Notamacropus eugenii: one gene and its partners. The protein of the gene in region 1 interacts with the protein of each later gene in a biochemical or structural test. Links are inferred from orthologs where the notes say so. Each region holds a gene or a part of one and is shown on either strand. Other genes may lie near its edges. The genes, in order: NCOA6, PPARG, TGS1 and RXRA.

Region 1 (7,111 bases):
AGATCTGAAAATTGTTACTGATCAGGAAAAATTTAATGGAAGAGGTGACAAATGAGTTGAGAACTAAAGGACTACTGATGATTCAACAGATGAGGATAATGAGGACTATCTGTGTTTGAGTAATATAGTTTGTTTTAAGCATTGTGAGCAAAGGGAAAGAAAAAGAAACAAGGCTTAAAATGTAGAAAGCCCCAAACTGTAGAATACTTAGAACTCCTGGCAAAGAAATCTGAACTTTACTTGATAGGTAATAAAGAACCATTGAAGTTTTTTGAGCAGAAGAGCAACCTGATCTATACATAAGAAATCATACCCTGGCAGTAATATGAAGGATGGATTTGAGAAGGTAGAAAGGTCCCTAAAATAGAACTAGTGAATAGAAATGAGGACCTGTACTATGGTGGTATCATTGGAAAGAATGAGGAGAGAATGGATGAATGAGATGTTGCAGAGGAACTGGCAAAATACTTGGTACCTACTTGGATATGAGATATGAGGAAAAGTAAAGACTAACAACCCCAAAGTTTTGAATATAAGAGGCACAGTAAATGGTGGTGAATCAGACAAAAATAGGGGAGGCAGGAGGAGAGCCCAAAGAAAAGAAATAAACCTGGTTTTAACATGTTAGATTGAGGTGCCAAAAGGACATCTAGGTGAAGCTTTCTTGTAGGTCACTGGAAATGCAGATCTAGAGGTCAGAATTGGAGAGAATTTTGGAGTTGTCTGCATAGAGGAAGTAGTTGAAGTCGTGGAAATGAATGTTCATTTGTCAATGGAAAAATCACGTGTGTTCGCCCTTCGTCATTATGGGATTGAGACCAAGTTGAGGACATACTGAAGGGCACATCAAAAGGTAAGAAAATCTCTGGAGTATGGTCTCTGAAGCCAATAGAGAAGAGTATTGAATAGAAGAGGCCGGTCAACAGTGTCAAAAGACATTGACAAGTCAAGGGGTTTGGAAAGCACTGGATTTGGTGATTGTAATGGTGATCCTAGAGAGGAAAGTTTCAGTAGATAGAAGGGAACCAAAAAGAGGGTGTGTAGGCATCTGGGAGAGACAATTTTTTTCAAGACGTTTAGCAGCATAAGGGAAAAAGACAGGATAGTAGCTAAATAAAAGTGGATGTGTCAAAATGAACACATCTGTAAACTGATGAGAAGGTTCCAGTGGAGCAGAGACAGAAGAGATGAGTGACTCAGAGGGGTTGACTTCTTTAAGTAAGGTCTTCAAAGGAAGAAATGAGATTAGGTAAAAAGAATTAGCCTTAGTCAGAATACTTTACTTCAGCGACTGGAGGGAAGGAGAGAGATTATGAGGAAATTGAAAGGGCTGAGAAAGTTCTTTTTAGTGAAAGAATAAAAGGGCAAGAAAAGAAAAAGTGATTCTGGGGAAAGGGAGTTAATAAAATTTCAGCAGAGATCATTACTCCAATCCTCCAAGTTTGCAAATGAGGAAACTGAGACCTAGATGAAACAAACTGACATCCTAAATCACATAAGTAGTGGCCGAGCTTGAACTAGCACCTACAGTCCAAGGTCTTTCCAACACCATTCATGTTGCTTCACACAACAGATAAATTTTCCTAAGGCACAGAGTTTAAGAATCAGGTCATTCATCCATTCAAAACCTCTCAATTGCTCCTTATTAATTATTACACCAATAACTTCTCTCTCTGGCTTTTAAAACCCTTCACAACCCGGCCCCAATCTATCTCTCCAACCTTGTTATACATTACTCCCCTTCCCAATCTACAAACTGAATATCTGTTCTTCCTCCATGGCACCTCCACTGGCCACCTGTGTCTCTGTACCGGCCATCCCCCCTGCCTGGAAGACAAGCCTCCCTTCCCTCAAGAAGCAGCGATCAAGACCTGCTCCTCAACCTTTCCCGACGGCCCGATCCTTCCCTCCCCGGTTTCTTTGTATTTCTTCTGTATGTCCCTACACCAGGTGTCCCAAAAGTCTCTGTGCAGCTGTAAGCCTCGGAGGCTCGATTTCAAGCGCTCTGAGGACAGCGCCCCGCACGGGGCTCCAGACAACCAGAGTCCGCGTTTAAAGCGCACGAAGCTCAGCGGGCTCGTGGTGGGCTGCCCACACTGGCGTTAGTCCCGACTCCCAACCACGGGCTCCACATCGCTGGGTCTACACCGCTTCCTCAGCCCCCACGGGTGACCTCCCTGTGTGACCCCTATTCGGGTCCTCCCCTGGAGAGTGCCCTGGGTCATTACCCCCACACAATGCCACGGCTGTTTCGTACACACAACACGGCCAGGCCCCGGCCATCCCGAGGCTTCCTTCCTTATCCCCACCTTCAGGCACCGTGAAGCCCCTGGGAGGGAGAAGCTTGTTCCTTTGCGACTCCCGCTGTCAAAGTCCCCAGCCCGGGCTCTGCCTCAGTGGCCTTCCCGTGTCCTTCCTGCCCTCCCCCCGGGGCACACTCGCGCACACACACCCGGCCCGGTAACCCGGGCACACAATGAGGTGGGCCTGCCCTGCACGCCCGCCCGGGCCGGGGCTTGGACACCTGCCTCCCCTGGCCCCGCTGGGGGGTTGGGAGGCGGAGCTCGGGCTCGGGCACCGCGGCGAGGCCACCCCGCACCGCCGCAGGCCGGGCCCCGGCCCCCCCCCCCCCAGCCCCGGCTCCCCGCAGGCCGGGGCCAGCTCCCCAACATGGCGGCGGCGGCGGGGACACGAGCGAGCCCGGTGGCTGGCGGCGGGCGGGCGGCGGCTCCCGGCCGGGCCGGGTCTGTCATCCGCCCCGCGCGGCGGCGCCATTTTCCCGGGACCAGGGACAAGGCTGGTCCCATTCGCGTCCCGTCCAGTCCCACCCCACCCCCCCGGACCCGGCCCGAGCTCCAGCCTCTGCCTCACCTGCGGCCCTGCCAGGGGCCTCCGACGGCGGCCCACTCTGGCCCGTGGCCTGCGAGCGCCGCTCTGTCCGTCCCCGCGGCCCGGAGAGCCGGACAGCGGGACACCGGGACTCCCGGACCCGGCAGCGGCCTCAGACCCGGCGGGGAGGGGGAGGGGAGGGGACCGGGGCCCGGGAGGGGGAGGGGAGGGGGAGAGGGAGGGGGAGGAGCGGGGCGGGGCCGGGCAGGCGGGGGCCTCGCGCACGTGACCGGAGCGAACGTCCCCGGGAGCTCGGGGCGGCCGCACGCAGGCGCGCCCGGGCCCGCCCCACCCCACCGCGCCCTGGTCCCTCCTGGATGAACCTCGGATTTTTTCCTCCCCGATCTTCGGCAGTTTTTCTTTCCTGAGCCCCAAGTTACTCCTTGGCAGCGCTGAACCCTTGATCTCCAGGTTCTCCGGACTGCGCATTCCCCGACTCCCCACAGTCCGGAGCCCACAGTAACCCCCATCTTTTCGCAATCCCCAGCTGCGTGGACTGCGCCCCATCTGGTTTGCCCTCTTAAGGAAAGGGTAGCCAGGAATCGGTCTCGTTCTTCTGCCTGCTGGTTGGTTCTTCCGAACCTGGACCCTCTGCCCCTGGCCCCGAGGAGGCAGGGACAGAACCGGCCCAAAGTCTCGCTCCTAGGCTTTGCGTCCTCAGCTCTGGCTCTTACATTCTGAATGACTGGCCCAAGTGCCTTCACCTCTAGGAGACTGGGTGGTCTCCATTCCCTCCCAGTGTTCACTTTGGGGGACTAGTGGGATATCTAAGTAGGGTCGCGGGATCCCAGGACTTGAGAGTGGCCCGGTGAGAAGCTAGAGACAGAACTGAAATTAGGGAGAGAGAGGTCATCTCGGTGACTTGGGGCGGCTGGGGGCCCAGCAGGAACGGCCCCTGCTGACACCTGAGAGCAGGGCTGTGCATCTCCTGGAAGGGAGTCAGGAGGCCTAGGTGGACAAGAGCGCACAAGTGGAAGGAACTCAGATGGCTTAACCACGAGAAGAAAGGACTTAGGGGAAGCATGGTCAGTGTCTTCAGGCATGTGAAGAGCTGTCACGTGGAAGAGGTAGCTTTGTCCTTTTGGCTGCAGAGAAAAGTAGGAGCAATGGCGGGTGAAAGTTACAGGGAAGGAGATTTAGGGGTCAATAAAATCTTGTTAACATGGAGAGCTCCACCTTTCAGGGTTGTTGAAGAAGGAATTTCCGTTCAGTTCTCAGTCAGACTGGATGACCTTTGGGGTTCCTTTCAACTCTTGGATTCTGTGCTTTGAGTACCATCTCTGTCAAATCAAGGTTGAAGACCTGGGCATGTGCTCTCCTTTCTCTGGGCCTAAATTTCCATCTCTGTACAACTAGAGGGTCAAAGTTTCCAGCATTAATACTCAATGAGCTATAAGGAAAAAAGTGCTGGATGGCATGCCCTACTCCACCCTATTTCCAGGAACAGCCTAAGAGACTAAGGAAAATTAAAGAGAGGTTGAGAAGATTCATTTTTCCTCCCTAGGGTCCTTCTTGGTGAACTTCATGGGACTGGCATTGTTTATGGACTGAGTTAGGGGTGACATTGCCCAGAGGTAGAGAGATGGTCTAAATGGCCTCCAAGGTTGCAGACAGCCTAAAGTGCTCCTATTAGAAGTCTAAGTGAGGAGACTTCGCTCTCCCAAAAATTCAGCCATCTGTCCCAACTTTGACCTGGAGACCAGCTAACAGACCAAGCCAGAGAAGAGATTTCTTAAGCAACTTTCTCTTTAATTCCTCTTGGGAAGTGGAAGCCCCTGAGCTGTTACCCACCCTCCCTCCCTCCCACCCTTATGTGGCCCCTTCTCCCTGCACCTCTCCCTCAGACCCTTACTACTTCTGGGACAGAGAGAAGGAGAAAGAGGGCCCCTTGCTTCTGGATGGTCAGTTAAAAAAAAAGTCATTTAAGAAATGAGACAGGGGAGAGGGATGGGGAAAGATGTCAAGGGTTGGTGGGAAGGAAGGATGATTCGGGCCACCTGGGTGGGGTTTTTTTGGGGAGTTTTTGTTTTGTTTTTAAGCAAGCATTTCCCTAAGCCTCTCAGGAGTAGGAAGTATTGGAAGGAGGCAGAACCATTCTTCTAGTCTTCTTGCCTGAGGTCTGTCAGGCCACCACACCCATCAACTGTGGAATTTGTCAATTATTCTGGAATTGGGTTTGATATAAATCTCCTCTGGTCCCCAGGCCCTGGGCAGAGCTCGAAGGCACCAACTGGGAACCTCTGGTCTTCAGACCCACTCTGTGCCTGTCCCTCCTCCCTCCCTCCCTTGCCCAGGGGGAGGCAGGGCTCCAAGGGGCTCTTGGAACATGCAAAGGGGTATTTGTGCTGCAGCGCCTGCCCCTGCCCCACCCACCCAGCCCTACAAGATGGTGGCACCCGCTCCATCAGGGCTTCGAGGATCCTTCACCCCAATGATGAAATTGTTGGTTCTCCGACCTCCATGGACCCAGGACAGAACGTCTACCTTCTCAACCCGATGGCCCCTAGCCTCCAGGAACTCAACCTCTTCCTCTGTGAATTCACCTGAAAGAAATCACATGCAACAAAATCAATTCAAACATTTATTAAGTATCTCCTGTGTACAGAACTCTCTTCTGGGTGTTCAGTAAACTCATATAAACCCACAAGCACTGGCCAAGATGATTTATTTTTCAGGACTAGACAAGCTTGTCTGTCCAGGGCAAGATGTAGACAAACAATTTCAGCACCCCTAGAAAAATCTCCATTACTTCCCAAATTTCTCTCCAGTCCTCCCATTTATCCCTTAATAGGGACAAATCCCAACATTCTCCAGAGATCAGATTGATGGAATAAATTCCCATGGGAAAATTATAAACTGTCCGAGTAGGAAGGGATTGTAGAGATCATCTACTCTAATCCTCACATTTTACACGGGAAACAATCCCGGACAGCTTAACTGTGGGACTTGCCCAGTGCCACACAACTAGTTTATTATGGAGTTATCAGTCACTAGCATTAGTCCTACTTCTCCATTTTACAGATCAATCAATCAAGCACTTACTGAGGTCTTTTGGAAATATTTCTTTGACAGTTATATGAAGGATAGACCAGAAAAGAGATGGGCTTGAGGCTGGGAGACCAACTACAATGCTATAGAATTAGTCCAGGCCAACGGGAAAATAAGGATGAAGGGAATGAGACCTTGGGAGGTGAAGGGATTGGCCTAAAGTCACATGACTACTGTCATATATAAATTAGTATTAGAAGGGGAGTCTAGTCCAACCTTCCTTATTTTAAAGGTAGGGAACCTAAGGCCCAGAAAGGAGGAAGTGGCTAAATAATTATTATCTTAGATCTCAAAGCACTTCCCAAGAGCAGTCTTTGGGTAGGTGGGAGGCAAGAGGGCACTGGGGGGTCAGAAGGGAGGTTGAGAGAGAAGGGCCACCACTGAGGTGGGAAAAGGGCAGAGAAAAGGGGTAGCTGTTGGTGTCTGGGACAAACTTTACAAACAGCAATTCTGCCAACTGCCTGCCTTCATTTGGCCAGCCCTGGCTTAAAGCTCTTCACAGAAGCTGGCCAGGAGGGCCCTCTAGACCTAAATTGGTTTATGGGGTATTCCCCCCACCCCTTCCCAGCCCTTGAGGGCTCTAAACCCTGAGAAGAGAGGAAATGCCTACCTCAGGAAAGAAAGACCACCCATAGAGAACTGGAGGGAGAAGACTCAAGGCTTTTAACTGATTTGTAGATGAACTTGACCTTTAATCTTTTATATTCACAAATAACATCAATTTAAAAGACAATACTGTCTTTTTAGCCTTTTCAAGTTTACAAAGCCCTTTCCTCCCCGTAACAACCTGGAGGAAGGTACAGCAAGTGGTTCAGTCGTTTTCAGTCTTGTCCAGCCCTTTCATAGACCCCATTTGGGGTTCTCTTGGCAAAGATACTGGGGTAGTTTGCCATTTCCTTGTTCAGCTCATTTTGCAGATGAGGAAATTGAGGCAAATAGGGTTAAAGTGAATTGCTCAGGGTCATAAAGCTAGTAAGTGTCTGAGGCCAGGTTTGAATTCAGGAAGATGAGTCTTCCTGACTCCAGGTCTAGCACTGCATCACCTAGCATGTTGACTTTGAAAGCCATATGTGAACACTATATGTGCTCGATTGCATTTTTATTTATTTTGTCAAACATTTCCCAATGACATTGTGATCTGATTTTGGAGTACTCAGAAGTATTGAGGGCTACA
Region 2 (7,560 bases), on another chromosome or scaffold:
TTAGTTTCAATAATGCTGGTTTTACTGTGCTTGTGGTTAAAAACTAGAAAACAAAGGGCTGAAGAGGAATATTTGATAAAAATCTGGTATCAGAGCAACAGAAGTAGGGTTTTTCCTATATCATGTAGCAAAGAAAAGAAAAAGCCATGCTGGTCCCCAGCTGAGTCTTAAAATTTAATATACCCATCTAGTTTTAAAGGTATCGTCAGCATACTGAATATCATATGTCATATGATTTAAATAAAGGAGGAAGAAAATCATTTGTGTAAAGTATATGTTATGACAAAAGAAAAATGTGTAGTTCTATTTTTGCATTTTCCTTTTGACTGATATATTCTCGATTGAATTTAATAAACACTTATTAAGCACCTACTGTTGACTAAGCTCTGGGAAAAGAAAGATGGCAGGGTATGTTGCCCTCAAAGAGTTTATAATATAGTGAAAGAGGCTGGGCCACCATAAGATATACAAATAACCACGATTTAAGTGAGAAAATGAGTATAATTGCCACCACAGAATTCCTGACTCTCAGGTTGGATGGGACATCAGAGGCCATCTAACCCTACCTGTATCCCCTCTACAACAGGACAAGCATCCACCTTTGCCTGAAGACCTTTGGGGGAAGGGGACATAATCCATTCTACCCAAACTGTCAGGAACTTTTGTTCTTACATCAAATCTCAAACTCCAATTCTCCAAAAACTTTTCTTAATTACCCTTTCAGTTCCAATTCTATGATTTAGTAATTACAAATATTTAATTTCTCATGTAAAATTGTCCATGACTGCATAATACTTAAAGCTGAAGTTATTCACAAAAATGGAAAACTAAGACATTTTATTGTAACAATTAGAAAAATCCTGAAATTTGTCTATTACTATTTACTCGAAAATGTATAATCGATGTACAATCACAAAAAGGCTATCAGGGCTTATTTTTTGGGGGGGAGGCTTATGATGATCAATGATACCTGTCCATCATTTTATTACAGTATTTAATTTCCTAAGTAATTTCCCCCGAAATTTTTATGGAACATCCATGTCCAATTCCTAAAGAGAACAAGAAGGGGGAGTTAGCTCTACGTTACTACATAGCAATGATGAGTTTCCTATGCACAAGAGGAGGGTTACAGGGCACCTGAAGTCCACTGTGGTTAGGCACTTAGTTTGACAGGGTCCGTTTTATGAATAAGTAATTCATTGATCTCTCCATAGAGAGAAACTTTCTTTTCACAACTTGAAAAAAAATAAAACAAAAACCAAAACCACACCTTTGAAGTGAAAAGTAGCATGGCTGATAAAATGATACATTTTAATTAAAATATGTCCAAAGTCCATTTCCCCGTCCAAATATTTTCAACAGCTAATTCAAGCAAATTACCAGAAGAAATTACACCTATGCATTTTGGCCTTAAGCTCATTAGGCAAAGTTACTTTAAAAGCCCTTAATGCTTTTAGGTCAGAATGATAAATATTCCAAGTCCCCAATAGTATTACAGGTCAGTTATTACCAGAATATCACTACTGGCTTTCACTCGGACTTTATGGGCTAGTGGTCTCACAAGGATCCCTCCAGGGCTTCAGCCGGCTCCGCTGTCAGTCACCACTGCAAATGCCAAACGTTCCGCAAACTTTCTCACCAAAGCACTTCAAGAAAATGTCGCTGATGCGAGCTGACTCACCCAAGTTGTAGAAGTCAGCGGCGATGAAGGTGCCGACGGAGCCCTCCTACCCCTTCGGATCAAAGTGGAGCAGCTGCTCCTCCTCTTCACCTGACCCCATATAAAAGCCGTGGATCGGTGACTCCCAGTTTCCGGCGCTCTTTCCCTGGCCCCTCCCCAAAAGCCCAGGCACAAAGTACCACCTTTCTCTTCACCCTCACACCCTCCTTCCACCCCCAACCCCAAGGAACCTGTCATCTCTGTTTACCTGACCCACCTCGTTTCCCCCGCAAGAGTTCAGAGGAGCATAGCCTGCTGCTGTCCTGCGCCGTGCCCACATGGCATCGAGGGACTCAGCTTGGCAGCACGGGGCACACTGGGGAACTCCTAGTACCAGCGCGCTCATCCTGCTGCTCGGAAGCAGGCTGGCATCCCTGGGCCCCTCCTGCCCCGTGCATGCTCCCAGAACTTCGGGAGGGCTGGGGGCTGTCATCACCTGTTACTTCCCTGCACTACAACCCCAGGGCAGACCTGGCGGACAGAAGGACAGTCAGACAGAGAGACAGATGCTCTGTTCCCTTGCCTAGGTCGGCAAGGCCGGGGGGGAGCCACTTGCATGGCGTCCGCCCTTCACACAGGGCACACAGTCTCCCAGGAAACTTCCCTCCCTATTCTCGGGGGACAGTGACCCCCTTCCCAACCCTCCGTATTCCAGGGCACTCGGACTCAGCTCCCTCTGACCCCAGGTCGCTTAAGTTCTACGACTCCTTTCCGGGGCCACTTAGCCCTGGAGCCAAGCCTCGGTGCCCTCTCTCTTCCGTGACATAAGACCCCAGAGTCTCTTGTCCCGGGGCAGGGAACACGCACCCTGCGCGGCTTCCTTTCGGCTCAGAGCCCCCTCGGCCCGGGCCACAGGAGCTGCGAGTCTCCTTTAGTGACTCGGGCACACACAGACCCGCGTGCCCTTAAACTCGGGCCACTGGGCACGCCTGTGAATCTTTATCCCAAGACATCTAGGTCCGCGACCCTCGTAGTCCGGGACACGGCGGCCGAGGAGGGAGCCCTGATCCCGGGACACCCGGCGACACGAGTGCTCCCGGCTACGGGACCCCAGACGCGTGGGGGCTCTTGGCCCCAGGCACCCAGCCCCGGGCTGTTTTGGACAGCCCTCTCCCCGGTCCCCGCGGCCGCGGCCCAGCCCAGCGGGGGCGCTCTGACCTGCGGCCGGTGGCGTCCCTGGCTCCCGGTGTCCGCCCCAGCTGAGCCGAGCCAGACCGGGCAGCTCCGGTGACGGTGACGGCGGCTGCGGCTCCGGAGTGTCAGCGCGCTCTTCCTGCGCGATCGCCAAGTGCGGCCGGGGCCGGGGCCGGGGCGGGGGGCGGAGGCTGGGGGCAGGGTCCTGGACTGGGAGGGGGCAAGGAGAGAGGAGGAGGGGAGGAGGAGGAGGAGGAGGAGGAGGAGGTGGGAGGAGGAGGAGGAGGAGGGGGAGGAGGAGGAGGAGGAGGAGGAGGAGGAGGAGGAGGAGAGGAGGAGGAGGAGGAGGAGGAGGAGGAGGAGGAGGAGGAGGAGGAGGAGGAGGAGGAGGAGGAGGAGGAGGAGGAGGAGGAGGAGGAGGAGGAGGAGGAGGAAGGGGGCGGGAGCGGGGGCGGCGCGCAGGGACCTGCGCTCCCCGCGCGCTCGCTGCTGGCTGGCTGGCTCGCTGGCTCCAGGACGGAGCCGCTTCCGAACCAGCACCAGCCCGCGGCCGGCCCCCCGCAGCGCTCGGGTCGGCTCGGCCCTCCGAGCGGGGGACAGCGCTGCCTCCCCGGAGTGAGCCCACCCCGCCCGCTACGGGGAAGTAACTTTGGGGTCGGGATGGCAGAGGCGGGCAAGAACGCGGCTCTCCTCTGGAAGCCTGGAGGTCAGCCGGGACAGCCTGCGAGGGTCCGGAGAGTGGAGAGCAGAGCAGGGCGCAGTTGGAGAGCCGAGGCAGGGACTTGGCATCTGGAAGAGAAAAGCGGGGCCGAAGCACTTCGACCACTTAAGCCTTAAACTGAGTCATTTCTGTTATCCTGAGCGAGAATGGAAGCGCCTTGGGGACAGAGTTGGGCTGGAAGCAACCTGGGCACAGAGAGACCAGAAGCTGTTTGAGGGGGCACCTCGACGAGAGCTGTGGTGGCCAAACTTCTTGCTTCCAGCACTGTAATTTTCTTTGTATCGAGACCCTTGGAGGGGAAAGTTGGGAGACTTCCGAAAGCCCACGTGCAGTCATGCAAATGCAGAGGTTTGCTAGGGTTTGTTGCATACAATTTAAGGAAGTCTAGAGCTTGTGGATGCAATTGTAAATTCCAAAAGATTCCCAGCTCCCTGAGCTGAATTCCTTCAGGGCATACTATTTTGGAACTGCGGGACTGGCAGCAACTTGGCCACTTTGCCTCAACTTACTCAGCGCACGTTTAGATGGAAAGTTTCTTGAGGCCAGCAAAGCAGTCATAGGCCCGAAACTCCTAGGGGACAAACTTAAACCAGAGACCGACGTAGAATTCCACCGGCCCTTTCTCAAGGCCAGACAGAATGGAAACTGTTTGAGGACAGACTTAGCCCGGAAACTCCTCACTGAGGGATGGAAAGTGCCTCATGGAGGGCAACAGCCTTAGTCTGCAAAGATTTTCTAGGCCAGAAAGGGTTTTCCAGCATTTGCCCTAGAAAAAGCACCTGGAACGCTAGGGACTGGGTTGGAAGCCCAGCTAAGTCACTTGACCCTTGTAAGACCTTCGTGAGTCATTTCCCCTTATTCCCTCAGTTTCCCTCAGCATTACACTTTCCTAACTGTAAAGTGGGTTGGACTGGGCCTGGCCATCTCCAAGGTTTCTTTCCCTCTCTAAAGCCTTCCACAATGGATTTTGAAGGTGGGTTAGCCCGGTAGTGAAATAAAGGGGCAAGTGACTAGGCTTAGACAATCATTCTTTGAAGTAGGGAGGGCCCCAGCTCCACCTCTGAGACCCCAAACGACCCTCTTCTTCCTTTGCTGCAGTAATCCAATTCATTTACAGGTCATGGCATCACCTCCCTGATATGGGCCCAGAACAAAGGGCAGACAGCCCCAAATGCAACTTTTACTAGTCAAAAGATTATCTACTTTGTCACCGAGAGGGATGTATCAGTCTTCTAAGTCCTCTCTCCCATCCCATCCCACCCAATCCAAGCACTGCTAGTAAACATATATAGGAACAAAAGACAGAAAATGAGATCCATTAAGTGAGATGCTCACAACTTCCTAGCATCACAGTATTGTGGAAAGAGCTCTGCTCTGGAGACAAAGGTCCTAGATTCAAATTCTACCTCATGCTTGTTATGATCTTAACATACAGGTTAAGTCACTCAACATCCTGGAGCCTCAGTTTCCTCATCTGTAAAATGGGGGAGGGAGGCTTGGACTTGAGAGTTTCTGAGGTCCTTTCCAGTTCTAAATCAGTGATCCTTATTTCTCTCCATTCCTACTAAATATTGTTTCATATGAGCTGTAGATGATCTTCTATAAAAATATCCTCTCTATCACATATTCTGAAAGGCAGTATGGACAGATGAAAAGAACACCAGATTTGTAGTCAGAAATCCTGGGCTCAGTCCTGGTTCTGGCATGTATCAGACATATGACCCCTGGTGGTCTCCCCAGTATCAGTGTCACTTCATTGTCCTGGGGCCTCTCTCCACCTCCCTCAATTCCCCATCTCCCCACCAACTGGAAGTATATTTAAAGCTGCTGAGACCAAGCAAAGTTTGTGGTACTCATCTCAAACATGGAATCTTCTAGTTTATGACCCTGTAGGAACAATTTTTTCCCCTTCATTTCAAAAAGCATATTCCAAGTATATGAAGAATAACCAGTTCTCCAGTTCTACCACAAGGGACCTAACTGAAAAGCCTTCTGATGACCAAAAGGTATAAAACTTCTTTTCATCAATGCTAATGAAGAACACACCTTGCTGCTAACCAGGAGTGTACCTTATTTCAGTTTTTTGGGCAATCTTTTTTTTCTCCTGAATCAAAATCTCAAATGAGAAAATTGATATTAGTGATCCAACCCCAAATGAACCAAGTTCTAATTACAGAATGCTCATAACTAAAGTCACTCAGGAGTGTAAAGTAGACTCAACATTTTCCCCGCTCAAAAATATTCTTCTAGTATGTGTGGGCTACTTACTGCCTTCCTCTTACAACAATGAAGCAGAATGGTATCAGTTCATTGGATCATGGATTGAGAGCTAGAAGGGACCCTAGAAGTCGTCTAGTCTAATGGCTTCATTTTATACATATACATGTTGAAGTCCAGTTAAGTGACTAGCTCAAGGTTACCCAAACAGTGAGTGGCAGAGTCAGGATTCCAGCTCTGGTCCTGATTACTTGAGATGAGCTGTTGGGTTTTATGGTTGTTTGCTTTCCCCCATCTTCTAAACTCCTCCTCTCCTGTCTGCCTCCCTCTCGCCTTCCTTCTTCTCTTCAGAGGAAGGTAAATTTGGATGGTCAAAAGGTGTCCAGTTGTCTTGGGTTTTACTGGCTTCTTTCCTGTCTGTCCTGTCCTCTCCTAAAACCTTAAACCTACTGCACTCTGAAACTGGGACTCCAATGGACCCCTGCCTAAGGTCTCCTCTGGATCCTCCTAGCTTTAGATTATCAATAGTAACTGTTGCTGTTTCCCACCCAGCCTGAAGTCTTTCTTTTTCTTTATCTGATTAAAGGGGCCATGCCCTGGCTATTTCTTAAACAGGCCTATTCAATGAATGGGTGTTGCCTCACCCTAGGTGAGTACCTGCAAAGACCTTGACCTAAAGGGCCCAAGGTCTCCCAGTGCACCCTGGGTCATCTCCAATCATCCTAAGGAATATCAGATCACTGGATTCGGATGGCCCTGGAGGAGAAGTGAGGCTGGTGACCTTGCACAGCCCTCCCTCACTCAAGCCAAAGTCAAGCGCAAGTCATGTCATCATTTCTCTGATGGCATGGTCTTCTTCGGCAGTGAAGGATGAACACAATGCCATGTGACTAATGGACTAACACCTCCTTCTCCACACTGCTATTCCCACTGGTTCTTTGAGTTGGATACAAGATGTCCCAATAGTATTGGACTAAGCCTAAACAACACTAAGACTTTTGGAGCATCTTGTATTTTAGGCTGTAGTTCTTTTGAATCCAAATCAAAAACAAACACACACATTTCAAATAAACATATGCAGTTCAAATATGTGTGTGTGTGTGTGTGTGTGTGTGTGTGTGACACACGTTCATAGACATAATGACTTGTCTGGAGTCATATAGCTAGTAAGATTTAAACTCAGGAAGATGAGTCTTCCTGTTTGCAAGGCCAGTGCTCTATCCACTGTGCCATCTAGATGCATATGGATGTATGTCTATATGTGTGCATATATACATACCTATAGACAGAGTTCATATATATGTATATATATATATATATACATATATATACACATAATTCATATATATGCTTTCCTTCTCACTAAGGAAATTTCTTCCCTTCTGTTTATAATTGTGCAATAAAAATACGTGCCACATGGGGAGGAAATGGAGGTCTAGTAATGTGGATTGACCGTAATTGAATTGATTTCCATAGTATTCTGAACATACTCAAATTGGCTCCCCTGGGAAAAGACTCCAGACATTTTAATATACCAATGATTTTTTAAAAAATGCTGTGTTTAAAAAAATTCAGTAGAATCTTTCTTCAAATAAGGTGACTCAGTTCAGGGTCCAAAAAAAGAGTACATTAACCATTTAACACTTATCCTAGTATTTTGTTACTTTGCTCTAGAAGGATAAAGAAAATGAATGTTCTAATCAGTCTTCTCACTTATGGTAACTATAGATTCCTGTACAGATGTGCTTAATCTTTCTCTTTCTCTTTG
Region 3 (7,260 bases), on another chromosome or scaffold:
CTCAAAAAGATGTTGTCACAGACTCTAAAGACAATGCCTAGAGTTCTACAAAGTTTCGAGCAAAGTCAGCATTGTTTACAATAGACAAAACATCAACTGAAGCAGAATCTATTGACAGTGATAAAGTTAGCTCAGAAAATGAAATTGATAAAATTCTATGTGGTGAAATCTGCATTCAGTGAGTGAGAAGAGAAAAACACCTTTTCCAAAACTGGTAATTTTCTCCATTTGTTTGGCTCTATGAAGATTGCTAAATTTAGAAAATAGTTAACTTTCCCAGTAGAATATAAGGACTCTGAGGGCAGGGACTAAGACAGTACCAGGTGCATACATGGTAGGTATTTAATAAACATTTGTTGCCATGAATTTGTTGAAAGGATTAGCCATTTATTTGGATGTATGATGAGATACAGATGCAGTATTGCCAAGTGGACAGAATGCAATCAGGAAGGCTTATGTTCAAAGCCTTTCTCTGATACTTATTACTAGCTCTGTAACTCCAAGCAAGTCATTTAGTCACAATGAGCCTCAAGGAACTCATTAAGACTTAGTTACTAAATCACAGGTAGTGATCTGAGAGAAAATTAAATCCTCTGTATATGACTTCTGGGAATTTGTTTCTTTTCTCCTTAAGCTGGATTAAGATTTGGAACTGAAGTCCAGTGCAACTCTCCATATTGTACAAATAAGGAACTGAGGTACAGACTTGCCGTAAATCTGTTCAAGTGAGAAAGACAAAATTTAAACCCACTTATTTTACTCCTAATGCAATTAATCAACAAGCAAATTTATTAAGTACCTACCAGTGACCAGCACTGTTTTTGGGATACAAAGACAAAAAAATATAGGTACTTGCTTTCAAGAGATAACATATACCGCTGAATAAAGAATTCAAAAGAAATACAAAGTAGCTAAATAGCTAGCATTTATATGGCACTTAAAGGTTTACAGTGAACTTTGTTATCTCATTTAATCCTCACAACTACCCTGTGAAATTAATACCACCCTCACCCCCATATTACAGATGGAGAAACTGAGACTGTGAGAGGTTAAGTGACATACAGAGGATCACAAAGCTGTCTCCCTGACATTAAGTTCCCAGTTCTATTAACTGCACCACTGTACTAGCTAGCTGCCTGGTAAAATACAGGATATGAAGGAAGAGAGTAGAAATCAAAAGGGTTGTTTGAATCAAGTCTTGAAAGAAGTGAAATATTCTACAAATAGAGGTAAGGAGGGAAAAACAGCTAGCATTTATACCATATCTACTTACATGCCAAGCACTGAGCTAAGCACCTTACAAATATTATTTTATTTGACCTTTACAACAACCCTGGGAGGTTGGTGCTATTACTATCCCTATTTTACAGTTATGGAAACTGAGGCAGACTTGCCCAGGGTCATACAGTTAGTAGATGTTTGAGATGAGATTTGAACTCTCGTCTTCCTGACTCCAGGATCAGTGCACCATCAACTAGCTGTTGAAGTAATACATGTTCTAGTCACAGAGCTTAAACGTGGAGTGCCTCATGTGGCTGAGCTGGAAGAGTGTGAGAAGGCGAATAATGTAATATAGCTGGAAGATTAGAATGAGGCCAAATTGTGAAGAGATTTAGAAACTAAAATGGAATTTTAATTTTATCCTGAAGTCAGTAGGGAACCAATGACTCCTGATTGAATACAGGAGTGACACGATCAGATGGCTGTTTAAGGAAAATCATGAACAGAGAAAAAAATAAGAGGCCTTTAAAAGTCCAGGAGAGAGATGAAGACAGCCTGAACTTAAAAGTGGTGGCTGTGTGAGTAGTGAGGAGGGAACAGAACTGAGATGTGTGGAGGCAGAAAAGTTAAGATGTGACAACTGATTATATCTATTTCATGAAACAAAGTCAAGTGTCAAGGGTAACAACGAGCTTATGCTACCTGGGAGCCTGGAAGAATAGTGATACAAACAGAGAAGTACAGAAAAGGAAAGGGTTTTAGGGGGAAAGATAAGTTCTGTTTTGAAATACGTCCACTACATCCCGTTTTAAGTGTCTACTAGGCAGCTGGTGATGCACACCTAAGTGGAGCTCAGGCCAGAGATATAGATCTGGGGGTAAGAGACCAGCTGGGAGAATAATTAACCCTACAGGAGTTGATGAGATGGCCAAGAAAGAGAAGAGCCAACACAGCCTTGAGGTACAGATGATTTTCTAGCAAAGAACGAGGCAAGTTCAGATAGGGAGAAGCACTGGGAAAGAGCAGTGTGGCAAAACCCCAGAGAAGATGGTGTCACAAATGCTGCAAAGCGGTCAAGAACAAGGACTGAGAAAATAATATTATATTTGGCAATTCAGAGATCACTGGAAAGTAGTTTAGAGAAAAGAGGCCATGGGTGAGTGGGAGAGGCTGGCTGGGATGGGAAGTCGGAGGGATCCAGAAGAAGCAAGCCCAGCAGCTTTTCCTAGGAGTTAGGCTGACAGAGGGTGACCAGACACAGATCGGTGGAGGGGCTGAACAATCTAGGGAAGCTTTCTTCCTCCACAGGATGATACTTGTTCCTGTTTAAAGGCACTAGGGAAGAAAAAAGTGGATAATTACGGAGATATGAGGGTGGGGGGGGCCTATGAGGAGGGGCATGTAGCTTACCAAAGGAGAGAGTAGGGGGCGGGTCAAGAGGTTTAGAAAGGAAGGGAAGAAGAGGGTCGCAGGGCAGTTACGTCTGACCCCTCACCACGCTACTGGGGGTTTTCTCGGCAGAGACTCCAGCTCGTTTTACAGAGCAGGAAACTGAGGCAAAAGGGGCTTGAGTCTTCCTGCCTCCTGGCCCGGCGGGGGCGGCAGGACCCCGAGGGCATCAGCTACGCTGCGGGGACGGGAGGACGTCGCTACTTACTCCACAAACGCTCTAGAACAGAGGCAGACGACTTTTAGATCTTCCTCCAGGCCTTCGATGTACAGGACCATTTCCGCCACGAGGCTCCACTTCCCGCACAGCATCTCGCCGCGGCGCTCAGCCGCGAGCACCCTTCCCGGCTCCGAGCTTCCCTCGCCGCTCGTGCCGAGGCCGCCCCCGCCGGGCTGGGCTGGGCTGGGGAGACCCGAGTCAGGCCCTCCCTCGCGGGGTGGGGGAGGGTCGGGCCCTCGCTCGCGGGGCGTGTGCGGAGGGGGGCCGGGTCAGGCCTCCCGAGGGTCGCTCGGCAGAGAGCTCGCGCACACACCGGGGCGCGGGGAGGACGCAGCCCCGGGGATCGCGGCCACAGCGGGAGCGAACATCGGCAGCGCGCGCGCCCACCCCGCCGACCGGAAGTGCCTCTCCGGCCCGAGGACGCGGGAGCGGGAAGAGGAGGGGAAGGTGTTCCACCGAACGCAGTCCAGGTTGGAGACGCAACTCGTGTTCCTAGTTAGAGGGCTGGAGAAAAGTGCCGGCTTAGCTCTGCGGCGTGCACGGCCGGACTGCCTGAGGTGGGGATCGGATGAAGGAGGTGTAAGAGGGGAAGACCAGCCGCGTCTTCCTCCATTTCTTTATTTCTTCTTTGGGAGGTGTGGACAGGGGGGAGGGCGGATTCCTCTCTGGGTTTGGTGTCGTCCTCTTCCCTTCCCCCTCCACCTCGGGCCGCGTTGTTTATCCCGGAGGCGGGGGGAGGGGCGCTTCCTGTCTCGAGGCCACGGGGGAGGGGCGGGAGGCCGCGGGTTTCCTGTCTCGCGGGATGTGGGGCGGTGGAGGACGGGAGCACCTCCTATCCAGGCGGGTGCCTGAGCGTAGTGGGTGCGTATCGGCGGACCTCTGCTTCCAGTCCCCCGTGGTCGGGGCACGTGGGTCCTTGGCCAGTCTGGGTCACTTCTCATCCGATGTTAAGCGCCTGCCATGTGCTAAATAATTCAAAAAGAGGCTATAAAGACTGGTACTTCTCATCCTGCGCTTACCGTAATTAAACACTTTTGCTTTGTCTTTCTTGACTATTATGCAACATAATATGCATACTAGTCTTAAATTACAACTCTGAAATCAAAGCACTTATTTTTTAAAAAAATTAAGCGCCTACTATGTGCCAGGCTCTGTGTTGAGTATTGAGGATACAAACAGGCCAAAAAAAAGCTATATATAGGAAGCTATATATAGCTTCCTTTGTATGTATTTGTTTGTACTTTTCCTCCCAGTCTAACGGAGGGAATAAACTGGAATTAAGAAGGTTGGGGGAAGACTTCTTTAGGTGGTGAAATGTTAGTTGGTATTTAAAGGAATCAGGAAGGTCAGGAGGCGGCACAGAGAAGTTCCAGGCATGAGGCCAGAGAGAATGCCCTGAGCTGAAAGATGAATTTTCTTGTTCTTTAGGGACATCTCCCATTCCTTGTTCATAATGTGGCACAACCTGTTCATTTTCTCTTCTCTCCGGGTGCTTCACCAGCCTTTTGGTGATGTCATACATAATCATGCCTCAGGAGCATGGAGTGTTGGGTGACGAGGCCATGTAGCAACATCTGTGAAATTGACATTGGACTCCTGGGGAGCTGGATGTAAAAGCTGAAGAGTAAAAGACAACTAAGGCGATAGAATGTAGAGTTGTAGGTTAATTAGAACAGTACTTAAGAAGGATTCCTAGGTTTGTAGTGTTAAAGCTGGAAGAACTCTTAAAAGTAATCAAACACTTATTGAGTTCTTACTTTGTATAAAGTGGGATAGTTAGATGGCTGAGTGGATAGAGTCCTGAGTCTAGAGTCAGGAAGACTCATCTTTCAGAGTTCAAATCTTATTTCAGCCACTATTTGTATGACCCTGCACGAGTCAGTTAACCCCGCTTGCCTCAGTTTCCTCATCTGCAAAATGAGTTGGAAAAGAAAATGGCAAATCACTCCAGTATCTATACCAAGAAAACCCCAAATGGGTGTAACAAGTCAGACATAAATGAATAATAACAAGAATGTACAAAGCACCGTGGGGATACAGATTGGAAAGTAAAACAGTCCCTGCTCTGAAAATGCTTGCATTCTAAAAGGATTCCAGCTGTAAGTCAGATAAAAAAGTCTCAGTCCTTAAGGTTGCAGCAGCAAAGTAGATGTTCATGCTGCTTTAATGCCATTTCCACAGATAAAATACCAGTTTGTGATGTGGAACCACTTCATAGTGCCATTATAGGTAGCAGGTCACTAATCTTCTATCTGTATAATTTTAGATATTAAAGAAAACAGTAATAAGGCAATTTTAGATATGAAAGAGAAAGCAGAACCTTCCACCTGTATGGGGTTGCTTACTTGATGCTACTTGAGTTTCCTGCCTTTTGGGGTACGTAGGTTTAGTTCTTTCTAGCTTGGGATATTAAGGGTATAGGAATATTTCCTTTGATATGACTTGGCCACAAAACAAATTGCACCATCTAAGTTCTACCTACCAAAAGTTTGAAAGGCACTACTAATGAGTAGCAAGTAGAGTATTAATTTTTAAAGGGGAAAATAGGTTTTCTAACATTTCTGGCCTTAGAAAAATTTTTTACATACATGAAGATTTTTATTTCTACTCTTTGAAATCCAAATACTTTTTAAGCTATAAAAAAGAGTTTGAGACTACTTTGTGATGTTTTTTTATTGAAAATTGAACTTTAGTACTAGATTCCCTCTCCAGACTTAATATTTCTCTCATCCATTTCTCAGATTCTTCTTTTGTCCTCCTTTCTCCTGCTACTTGAAAGGCTTTCCTTCTCCCAATTGTTCTCTCACATATGTTCTATCAATGGACATTTAAGTGTTGAGAGCAATTTTAACTGGAGTATCTAGGCAGGTCTTGATTCTTTGACTTTCTCTATTCCTGATCTTATTTGGTTTTTTTTTTCCATTAATGTAATCTATACATATACATATACACAGCACTGCATTCTGCATCAGGTATGTACAATATTAAGGAATTTGTACCCTGAAGTCAGTTGATACAGTTTTATTAAGAATTCTTAGAGCATCTTCTGGAATATCTAGGATGCCTTTGTAACAATTGAGTTAAGACAAGACACAGTATATAAGCTCCTTAATGAAATTCATAATCCCTTGGAAGAGTACCCCAGCTGTCTACACAGGAGAAAACAAGTAGATTAGAAATGCCTGTTGTACTATCATATCATATCATATATCAATTATATATTTTATATTACATAGATCACATTGTATTATACTATACTATATTATATATAGCATAATAATAATATACTATAATATTTCTTTCATTATCATGTTATCTTTTCTAGATTATTCATTTCTAAGAAACTGAAGCTTGGATCAAGACCTTCCTTGACTGATTTCTGGCAAGTCAACTTATTTTGGTTATGGGTGTGGTTAATATCAAAATCGTACATTTGTATCTCCAGAAATTGATATCAAATTGGAAATATCTGAAAAATCTTACAGACTTAAGACTTAAATGTCTTTACACATGTAACCTCACTAACACTTGTGATTCCATATTAGTGGTGGAGAGAACTGAGTCTTTTTCATTGTAAGAAGATAATGTGCAGAAATGTGGTAGCCTTGTTTACTGAGGAATAGAAGTAATGATAATAACTAGCATTTACTTATATAGTGCTTTGAGATCCACAGAGTACTTTTACATGTACAATCCATTTTGATCCTCATAACATCCTTGTGAGATAGATACTATTATTAGCCCCATTGTGTAGATGAGGACATTGAGGCTGAGTGGTTACTTGACCCAGAGTCACAAAGGTAAGGGTCTTAGGCAGGATTTGAACACTTGTATTCTTGATTCTAGCATTCCAGCTGCTATGTCACCCTCCTCAGTGAAGAGAAATACCAACTCAATATGGTTCAATTTAAGGTTTTAAAGTCAGATTAATAGGATTAGATAATCTATCATTTAAATTTCTAATTTTTCAGTTTTTATGTTTTATGACTTATTTTCCCAATTTAATGGAGACACAGTAAACAATGTGCAATGGAAAGAGCACTGGATTTGTAATTAGAGGCCTTGAGTACACATCTTGCCTCCCTCACTTTCTACCTGTGTAAGGTTGGGAAAGTCACAATCTCTCTCTGATCCTCATTTTTTCTGATCTGTAGAAGCAGAGGATTGGACTAGAGGGTTGGCCTTTCTAGTTCTAACTCTGCAGTTTATAATACTAAACAGTATTACAAATACTAATCAGTACATATTTATTAAACATATACTATGTGCTAGGCACTGGAAATACAAAGGGAAAAATGAAACAGTCCTTGCCTTTAAGGAGCTTACATTTTACTGGGGGAAGAGCTATGAGTAAGCAGAGTAGTGAATAC
Region 4 (7,530 bases), about 68 Mb from region 1:
TGGGGGTAGGGGAATGGAATTGAAAGAAATAACAACGGACTGACTGATGACTTTCCCCATCTAGGCTAAGAGGCTCTCCCCAGGAAATCAGACCATGGAGCAGTGTCCCAGGCCTCGGGCTTTGTTACATCTGACAAAATTTCCCTCTTCCCTACTCTCCCTAGCTGTGGGACTTTGAAACATGCCCTTTCCAAGTAAAACACACCTACCCCTACCTTTTTATACCTCATTCCCTGGTAAACCCTTATCCGCTGACAGAGCCAAAGTATTCATGCATTTTCATTGAGGTTGGCAATCAAGAACTGCAAACAGCTGCCTTAAGAGTGTTTGAGTTTTCATTTACCTATATGTAGATATAGAAACGATGCTGCTCATTGCAAAGTATCTGTCTTGGCGCTTGGAAAGAACTGATTTGGGCACATCCTGTAACATAGCTGTTGATTGTAAGACCTTCAGTTGATGGTGGTAGGTGGAGCTAAGCCAGGTGTGAAGAACCTGCAGCCTCAAGGCCACATGTGGCTCTCTAGGTTCTCAAGGGTAGCCCTTTGACTAAATCCAAGTTGGAGGGCCACTCTTGAGGACGTAGAGGGCCACATGTGGTCTTGAGGCCGCAGGTTCCCAGCCCCTGAGTAGGCCCATTGATCTGGAGTTGCTACCTCCCTCTTAATGTGCTATCCTGACAATCTCTGCTTACTTCCCTCACCAATTCAATCATCTGGGTGATTCTTTTGAACTTTGTTCATATGTGCCACCACAATCCCCCTTCACATGATCTGCCTTTTGCCATCCTGACAATAAATAATAAGAAAGAAGCAACCACCTTCCAACCTGGGGTCTACCCCCTAACCTGATGCCTACATGGAGCTTATGGCTCTCCAGGTTTACCCACCAAATGCCCCAGGGTACCATTGCAAGGAAAATGCATGATCTCCCATAAAATAACCTTTCCTCACACCCCAGACAGGACAGAACTGGTATTGGAATTGGATTCTATAAGATCTGAGAGAAGCCTGATTGCAGCTGGTACTGAATACTCCCTGGCCAAGTGCAGTGAACCACTGTAAAACACTGATAGTGGAGGTAAGAGCCAACACCTATGTTGGGCCAGAGTGCCAAGTCTGGGGTCAGGAAGCCCCAAGTTCAAATCCAACTTTAGACACTTAGGAGCTGTGTGACCTTGGACAAGTCACTTAATCTTAAACTTAAGTCTACCTCAGTTTCCTCAACTATAAAACAGGGATAATAACAGCACCTATTTCCCAGGGTTCTTTTCAGGAACAAATGAGATAATATTTATAAAGAGATTAGCACAGTGCCTGTAAGTGCTATATAAATGCTATATCATCATCATCATCATTGCTTTTTAAAATTATCCATCTATCCACTATTCAAGTACAATTTCACCAGCAGCATTGATAAGCCTGAGATATCTAATAAAGGACTTCCAATGAGCCTGGGGAATGCCTTACATTGAATCTTGAGACCACTTGGACTTGGATGTCAATTTCAACTTGGATTGTGAGGGTTGACTCATCCTGTTTTCTTTTGGCACAATCCTGGCTTCCTCTTCCTCAGATAAAAGGCAAAAGGAGGTTTAGCAGCATTTGGTGACATCAAACTGTGGTTACCCAAGCACATTCTGATGAGTTTAGTGTGAATAAATTAAAAACAGACGGATGGACTCTGCAATCCAGACATGGGTTTTAAAAATCAAGGGGAAATGTGTTTGGAGCAAAATACATTAGGTCTGGGGACCAAGTTCTCCTGCAAATTTCCCTTCCAAGTCCCTCCAGGCCCCAAGCCTCATGTTAGGATTTGGTAGTCTTGAGGAGGGAGAAACAAAGCTAGAGAAAGCACGGACCTGAATGTCTTGCTGGTTCTGCGGAGCAATACTCCAAATTGGATGTGTCATGTTTGAAGATATTGCTGAAGAGCTAGCTCTCTTAGGCCAATTTTGGTCCTTCTGTACCTAGTCATACCTTGTGCGTCTTGGAATGCTTTTAATCCTAAGGGACTCTGACTTCTGTAGCCTGGACCACAGGAGCAGTCTTTCCTGGCTCTGCTACCACCTGGAGGTTGTTTAGATACTATTTCATTGCCTTGTTTTACCAGTTAGAAAAATGGGTTCACCAATGGACTATGGTACTGCCTAATGCGAAGCAAATATTTACCTACAAATACAAAACTTTAGGGGAAAAGTATAAAAGTGCAAAGCTCCTAGAGCCTACCAAAAAATTGTTTGTAAATTACAGTCCCATCTAGGGAGTATCATCCTGGCCCTGAATATGCTCTGCCCCACTGTTCTTCTTCCCTAAATTTCCCCCTTCCTGTTCCTATTCCCATTGCCCTAAGTTTTCATTTAGGAATCCTAATAATAACATAGGATCATAGATTTAGATCCAGAAGGAAACTCAGAGGTCATGGAATTCAACCCTCTCATTTTACAGAAGATCAAATTAAGTCCCAAGGACAGTCAAATGACTTCCCCAAAGATACAGTTACAAGGGGCTGGTCTGGGATTTGAACCCAGTTCTTCTGACTCTTGTGCCATTGCTATTTTATCTAGGTATCATTCATAGGAGACAGATGCATGGAAAACCTTCAGGTTTGTAGTCCATGTGCATCCTGCTTTGCAGCACTGATGGAGTTGTCCATTTGAAAGCCAGTAAAAGCAGAAAAACCCAAAACTTACCCAGTCCAAAGCCAAGACAAAAGCTATCCATATTTTCCTTCAGGAGCACCTGGTCCAGGTAGGGGCGAACAGAAGGCATGAGAAGGTCCCTTGACTTGGAGTTGGGTGAAGGGGAGGGGGAAGAGAGGAGGAAAGGAAAGAGGAGGGATTATTTGGGTGGGGGGGAGGGGGAAATGATCTTCAGAAAGTCAGGAGAAAGGCAAGGGAACAAAATCATTCCACTGATTTGTTTAAGTCTCCAAAGATGTTGTTTTAACAAGGAGAGAGGAGAGGGAAAGGGGGAAAAAATGAAGACATGACAGAGAGATTTAGCTGGGATTTTGTTCCGAAATTCCCAATTCCCAGATCACATGTTGGGCACTCTCTCCTCCCCTGAACTGAAGCCCAGTCCAGTCCAACCAGACTCCTGTTCCAAAAGGAGACAGGGGAGGTAGGAGGAGAGAAATTTTAAAGGAAAATTACAGCAATTGAGTTAGAAAGCCCAAGTTTCTCCTTAAATATCATTCATGAGACACTACCATAGTAACTTAAATAAACAGACATAAAATAGGTATATAAAAAGTCCACTGAAATGAATTTTAAATGAGTAATTCTCAGGCATTGGAAAGATGGGAACACACCCTCTCTGTACTTGGGCTAAAACCAGGAGTCACAACCTAGTGGAAAACCATCTGTAAGTAGTACCAGTTAAACCAGGACATCTCTGGACTCTTCTTAGAAAATGGGGACTCTTGATTTTGCTGGGGGAGAGGAACATGGGCTGCCATTTTGTCTAAATTAGTGTGTATAATCTGGAGTCTTCAACAACCTTCCTTCCAAGGACTTTTTTTTTTTTTCAGAGATCATCTCCCTGTAGAACCCCATTGAGGGGGAAATCCAACGCCTCCATTTGACAAATGATCAAAATGAAGAAAAGCGAGACTAATAGTTGCTCCTCAGGTCATGCAGCAAGCCAGAGGCAATACTGAAACCTCAATCCAGATCTCCCAGATCTGTTAGTGCAGCACATCTATGTGCCCGGAAAAGGATGAAATCTTCCCTGCTGCTCCTCACTCTCCCTATGCTTGTGAACAATGCAAGGTTAGAGCTCAAAGGGAATTTAGAATACAGAACATAGAATGTCACAGCTCAGAGGGACTTTAGAAGATACATTGTCAGAGCTGGAAGAGTCCTTAGAGACCTACTTCAACATCTTCACTTTACAGATGAGGGAACTGAGGTTCAGAGTAGTGAATTCCCTAAAATCATAGTGATTTAGGGACCAAGCTAGAGCTAAGACCTGATTCCAAGTACATTGAATATCCTAGTTTGAAGAAATCTGAAAAGAAGGATGAAACCAGAGAGGAAAGAATGAAGAATCATTTTGGATAAGGGGGAGAATATAATTCCCCTCAATATCAAACACATATATGGCCAAATAAATGGTAGAATAACAGAAAACCATTTGCTATCTGGGGCAGTTAGGTGGCCCAGTGGATAGAATGCCAAGCCTGGAGTCAGGAAGACTCATCTTTCTGAGTTCAAATCTGATCTCAGACATTTACTAGCTGTGTGACCCTTAGCAAGTCACTTAATCCTGTTTGCCTTAGTTTCCTCATCTGTAAAATGAGCTGCAGAAGAAAATGGCAAATGACTCAAGTACTTCTGCCAAGAAGTACTACACATGGGGTCATGAAGAGTTGGACATGACTGAAAAATGACTGAACAGCAGCAACACTTTATTATCTGGCTTGGGCTGAAGCTGTATGGCGTATGTTGGTGGGGTTTAGAGTGGGGTATAAAAGGAGCATCTTCCATATGTATGCATGTATTTGTATTTATGCACAGATGTGTATGTGTGTACATGTGTGTATATGTCTACAAATGCATGTGTGTATATATGTATATGTATGTGTGTGTGTGCATTTTCTTTTGTCTTGGAAGGAATGGGTGAAATTTTTAATTGTGCTGCTGCCAACTCCAAGAAGAACTTTACTTGGTGGAAATTCTTCCAGGCCAATAATGAGCCAATTCTCTTGGGGCCTGCTTGAGAAATGGAGTTCCCTGCCATTTGGCTCCAAGGGGAACCCTGTAAGTAGCCAATATGGAAACCGACTGTATTGCATGAAAGAGACAGCCATTTTATGAGTCTAGCAACCAAATTAGTCCAATTAAGTAGCAATGCTTGAGGAGAGGGAGGGCTACCTCATTCACACCCCACCCTTCTCCTCTGGCATAGAAAGCTGTGGAAAACACAGTAACCTAAGGATGTGTAGCAAGAGAGAGGAGAGACATGTCCAAGAGGAGCAGAGAAAAGATAAATGAGGCAGCTGCTTCTCCTGTTGCTTCTCCAAATCCTAAGATTCCTTCAAAGTTCTGTTCCTCCAGGAAGCAAAGAGACAGAGTTGATGTGGTTGGGAAAAAGACTAGCCTAGCCTCAGAATGAAAAAATCTGGGTTTCATACCCTGGCTTTGGTACTTACTAGTTGTGGCGAGCTACTTTGCCTCTATTCTGTGCCTTTACTTCTTCATCTGTAAAATGGTAAGAGTAAGAATGCTCCCGCTATTGACCTTTTTGGGTTGTTGTGAGGACAGTGTTTTATAAACCTTAGAGTGCTGAAGGAGCATGAATTGTTATTCATTCTATTTAAATATTAAGTATTAATAATAATATGAATGGTAATTCATATTATTCAAGGGATGAATGCTCAAAGAGTACACAGATTTCACAGGGTCCATAAACTTGGGTGGGGAAAAATACATCTTTATTTTCAATGAACTCCAAAATTTGGAATTTTCTTGAATTATAAACTTTAAAAAAAATATTCTGAGAAGGGATGCATAGGTTTCACCAGAATGCCAGAAGAGGTCATAACACACAAAGGGTTAAGAATCTGTGGAGTAGAGGATTCCTTTTAGGTACAAATCCCCTGATCATCTGATCTCAGGGGACAATAGCAGCAGTCCTGGCTCACTCAGGGGAGCCACTATTTGTCAGTTCAAATGGTAAGTACTTCGTGAAGCCTCCCTTAATCTCCATATCCCCCTCCCTCGACACCAGGAGTACTCTTCAAAAACACAGTTGGAAAGAAGGAAATAAGTATTTATTAAGGGATATCACTGTGTTAAGTGCTTTATAAATATCATCTCATTTGATCCTTACAACAACTTTGATATTATCCTCATTTTGTAGTTGAGGAAATTGAGGTTAACAGATGTAAGTGACTTATTCAGGATCACACTGTCAGTAAGTATCTAAGGCCAGATTTGAACTCAGGTTTTCCTGACTCCAGGCCTATCATGCTATGTGTGGTGCTACCTAGCTACCTCTAGCTCTGACCCAAAAGTTGTTCACTCAAATCTGACTCTTCATGACCCCATTTGGGGTTTTCTTGGCAAACACACTGGAGTGGCTTTCCATTTCCTTCTCCAGCTCATTTTTACAGATGAGGAAACTGAGGCAAACAGGGTTAAGTGACTCACCCAGGGTCACATAGCTAGTAAGTATCTGAGGCTGGATTTGAACTCATGAAGATGAGTCTTCCTAATTCCAAATCTGATGCTCTATCCACTGCGCCACCTAGCTGCCCTGGCTTCCTATTACCTCTTGGATAAAACAAATTCCTCAGGATTAAAAACACATCACAATCTGACTCCAGTTTACCTTTCCAGGATTATTACACATTATTCTCTTTGACTCTGTGGTCTGACACAATTGGTCACATGCAGCATTCTCTATGTCTTCGTGCCTTTGTTTCTTCCTCATTGCCATCTCTCCTTCAAAGCTCTCTTCTTCAGGAGACCACTACTGAATCTACCAGTCACAGAAATTACTTGGTATGTATTTTGTATTTATTTATATATGTCCATGTTGCTTCCCCTGAAGGAACATAAGCTGCTGGAGGGGGAGGCATTATTTCTTTTTTGTCTGCTTCCTCTGGTACATGGTAAGCACTTGACTCATTGACCAATTTGATCATTTTACAACAAAGATTTGAAATACTGAAGCCCACAGATAGGGATGAGTCACCTGAAGCCCCCACTCCCAAGACTAGGCACTGTGAAGCCCTTTTCCTAGAAGGATATATCAACAGGTTAACATGTACTTCAGAGAGACAAGGGATTTAGAGAGTATGGGTACAAATGAATCAATGAGTGCTGTAAGAAAAAATTTCACATGCAATTTCTGTGAGGTTTCCTGGTTTGTCCTCTAGTACTTATTATCTTTATTTATATATGTATATCAGACTGTTTCACACCCCAGTTATTTGTTTCTCACTCTTATCTCTCATAATAGACTAGGAGTTCCTTCAGGGTAAGGACCATATCTTATCCATCTTTATATATCCTTCAGTACCTAGTATCATCCCTCCCTAGGTCTTTATCAATGGGTGAACCATAGAAATGGAAAATGTTAGAGCTTGAAGAGAATTAGATCCTCTAGACTAACACCTTCATTTTATCACAGGGGGAAACTGAGTCCCATAAAGTGGTCCAAAGGCTTCAAGTATGTGGTGAAGTTAGGGTGGGAAGGAAGACTCTTCAGTCAAGCTTGGGAAACTCTGCCTGGGTCTCACCATTCCAGCTTAAGCCTAGTGGGAGATGGTGCCCAGCAATCATGAGCCAGCAGAGGCTGGAGATGGTGTCTTGGGAGTCTGAGACTGGTGCATAGCTAAAGCTGGGCACTAATCAGAAGAAATTAGGAAGAGATATTAGGAGGTAAGAGGTCTCAGCTTTCAGAGGCTTTCTTTATCCTAGCTCTTCTGCCAGATGATTGTAGGAAGGGAATCTAAGGTTCAAGGAAAATGGTGATTTTTCTGAGATATGGCAACATTGCAAGCCTTTGGAGGGAGTCGGGG

Evidence for each region.
Region 2: the proteins of NCOA6 (region 1) and PPARG interact in a test that uses a peptide from one of them, tested with the Homo sapiens proteins (2 studies listed by BioGRID). The link is inferred for Notamacropus eugenii from reciprocal best matches to the Homo sapiens genes NCOA6 and PPARG.
Region 3: the proteins of NCOA6 (region 1) and TGS1 form a complex in vitro, tested with the Homo sapiens proteins (2 studies listed by BioGRID). The link is inferred for Notamacropus eugenii from reciprocal best matches to the Homo sapiens genes NCOA6 and TGS1.
Region 4: the proteins of NCOA6 (region 1) and RXRA form a complex in vitro, tested with the Homo sapiens proteins (5 studies listed by BioGRID). The link is inferred for Notamacropus eugenii from reciprocal best matches to the Homo sapiens genes NCOA6 and RXRA.

The regions. Positions count from the first base shown.
Region 1 is NC_092872.1:418,876,941-418,884,051, forward strand, and holds the start of NCOA6 (nuclear receptor coactivator 6), read right to left. Parts: upstream 3,008-7,111; 5' UTR 2,872-3,007; intron 1-2,871. Other genes in the region: GGT7 (glutathione hydrolase 7), read right to left, coding at 5,269-5,432. UniProt on the Homo sapiens protein: Nuclear receptor coactivator that directly binds nuclear receptors and stimulates the transcriptional activities in a hormone-dependent fashion. Coactivates expression in an agonist- and AF2-dependent manner.
Region 2 is NC_092874.1:432,712,033-432,719,592, forward strand, and holds the start of PPARG (peroxisome proliferator-activated receptor gamma), read right to left. Parts: upstream 3,023-7,560; 5' UTR 2,879-3,022; intron 1,803-2,878; exon of another isoform or gene 1,682-1,802; intron 1,622-1,681; exon of another isoform or gene 1,511-1,621; intron 1-1,510. UniProt on the Homo sapiens protein: Nuclear receptor that binds peroxisome proliferators such as hypolipidemic drugs and fatty acids.
Region 3 is NC_092875.1:273,888,128-273,895,387, reverse strand, and holds the start of TGS1 (trimethylguanosine synthase), read right to left. Parts: upstream 3,009-7,260; 5' UTR 2,983-3,008; coding exon 2,879-2,982; intron 1-2,878. UniProt on the Homo sapiens protein: Catalyzes the 2 serial methylation steps for the conversion of the 7-monomethylguanosine (m(7)G) caps of snRNAs and snoRNAs to a 2,2,7-trimethylguanosine (m(2,2,7)G) cap structure.
Region 4 is NC_092872.1:486,966,645-486,974,174, reverse strand, and holds the start of RXRA (retinoic acid receptor RXR-alpha), read right to left. Parts: upstream 3,018-7,530; 5' UTR 2,772-3,017; coding exon 2,693-2,771; intron 1-2,692. UniProt on the Homo sapiens protein: Receptor for retinoic acid that acts as a transcription factor.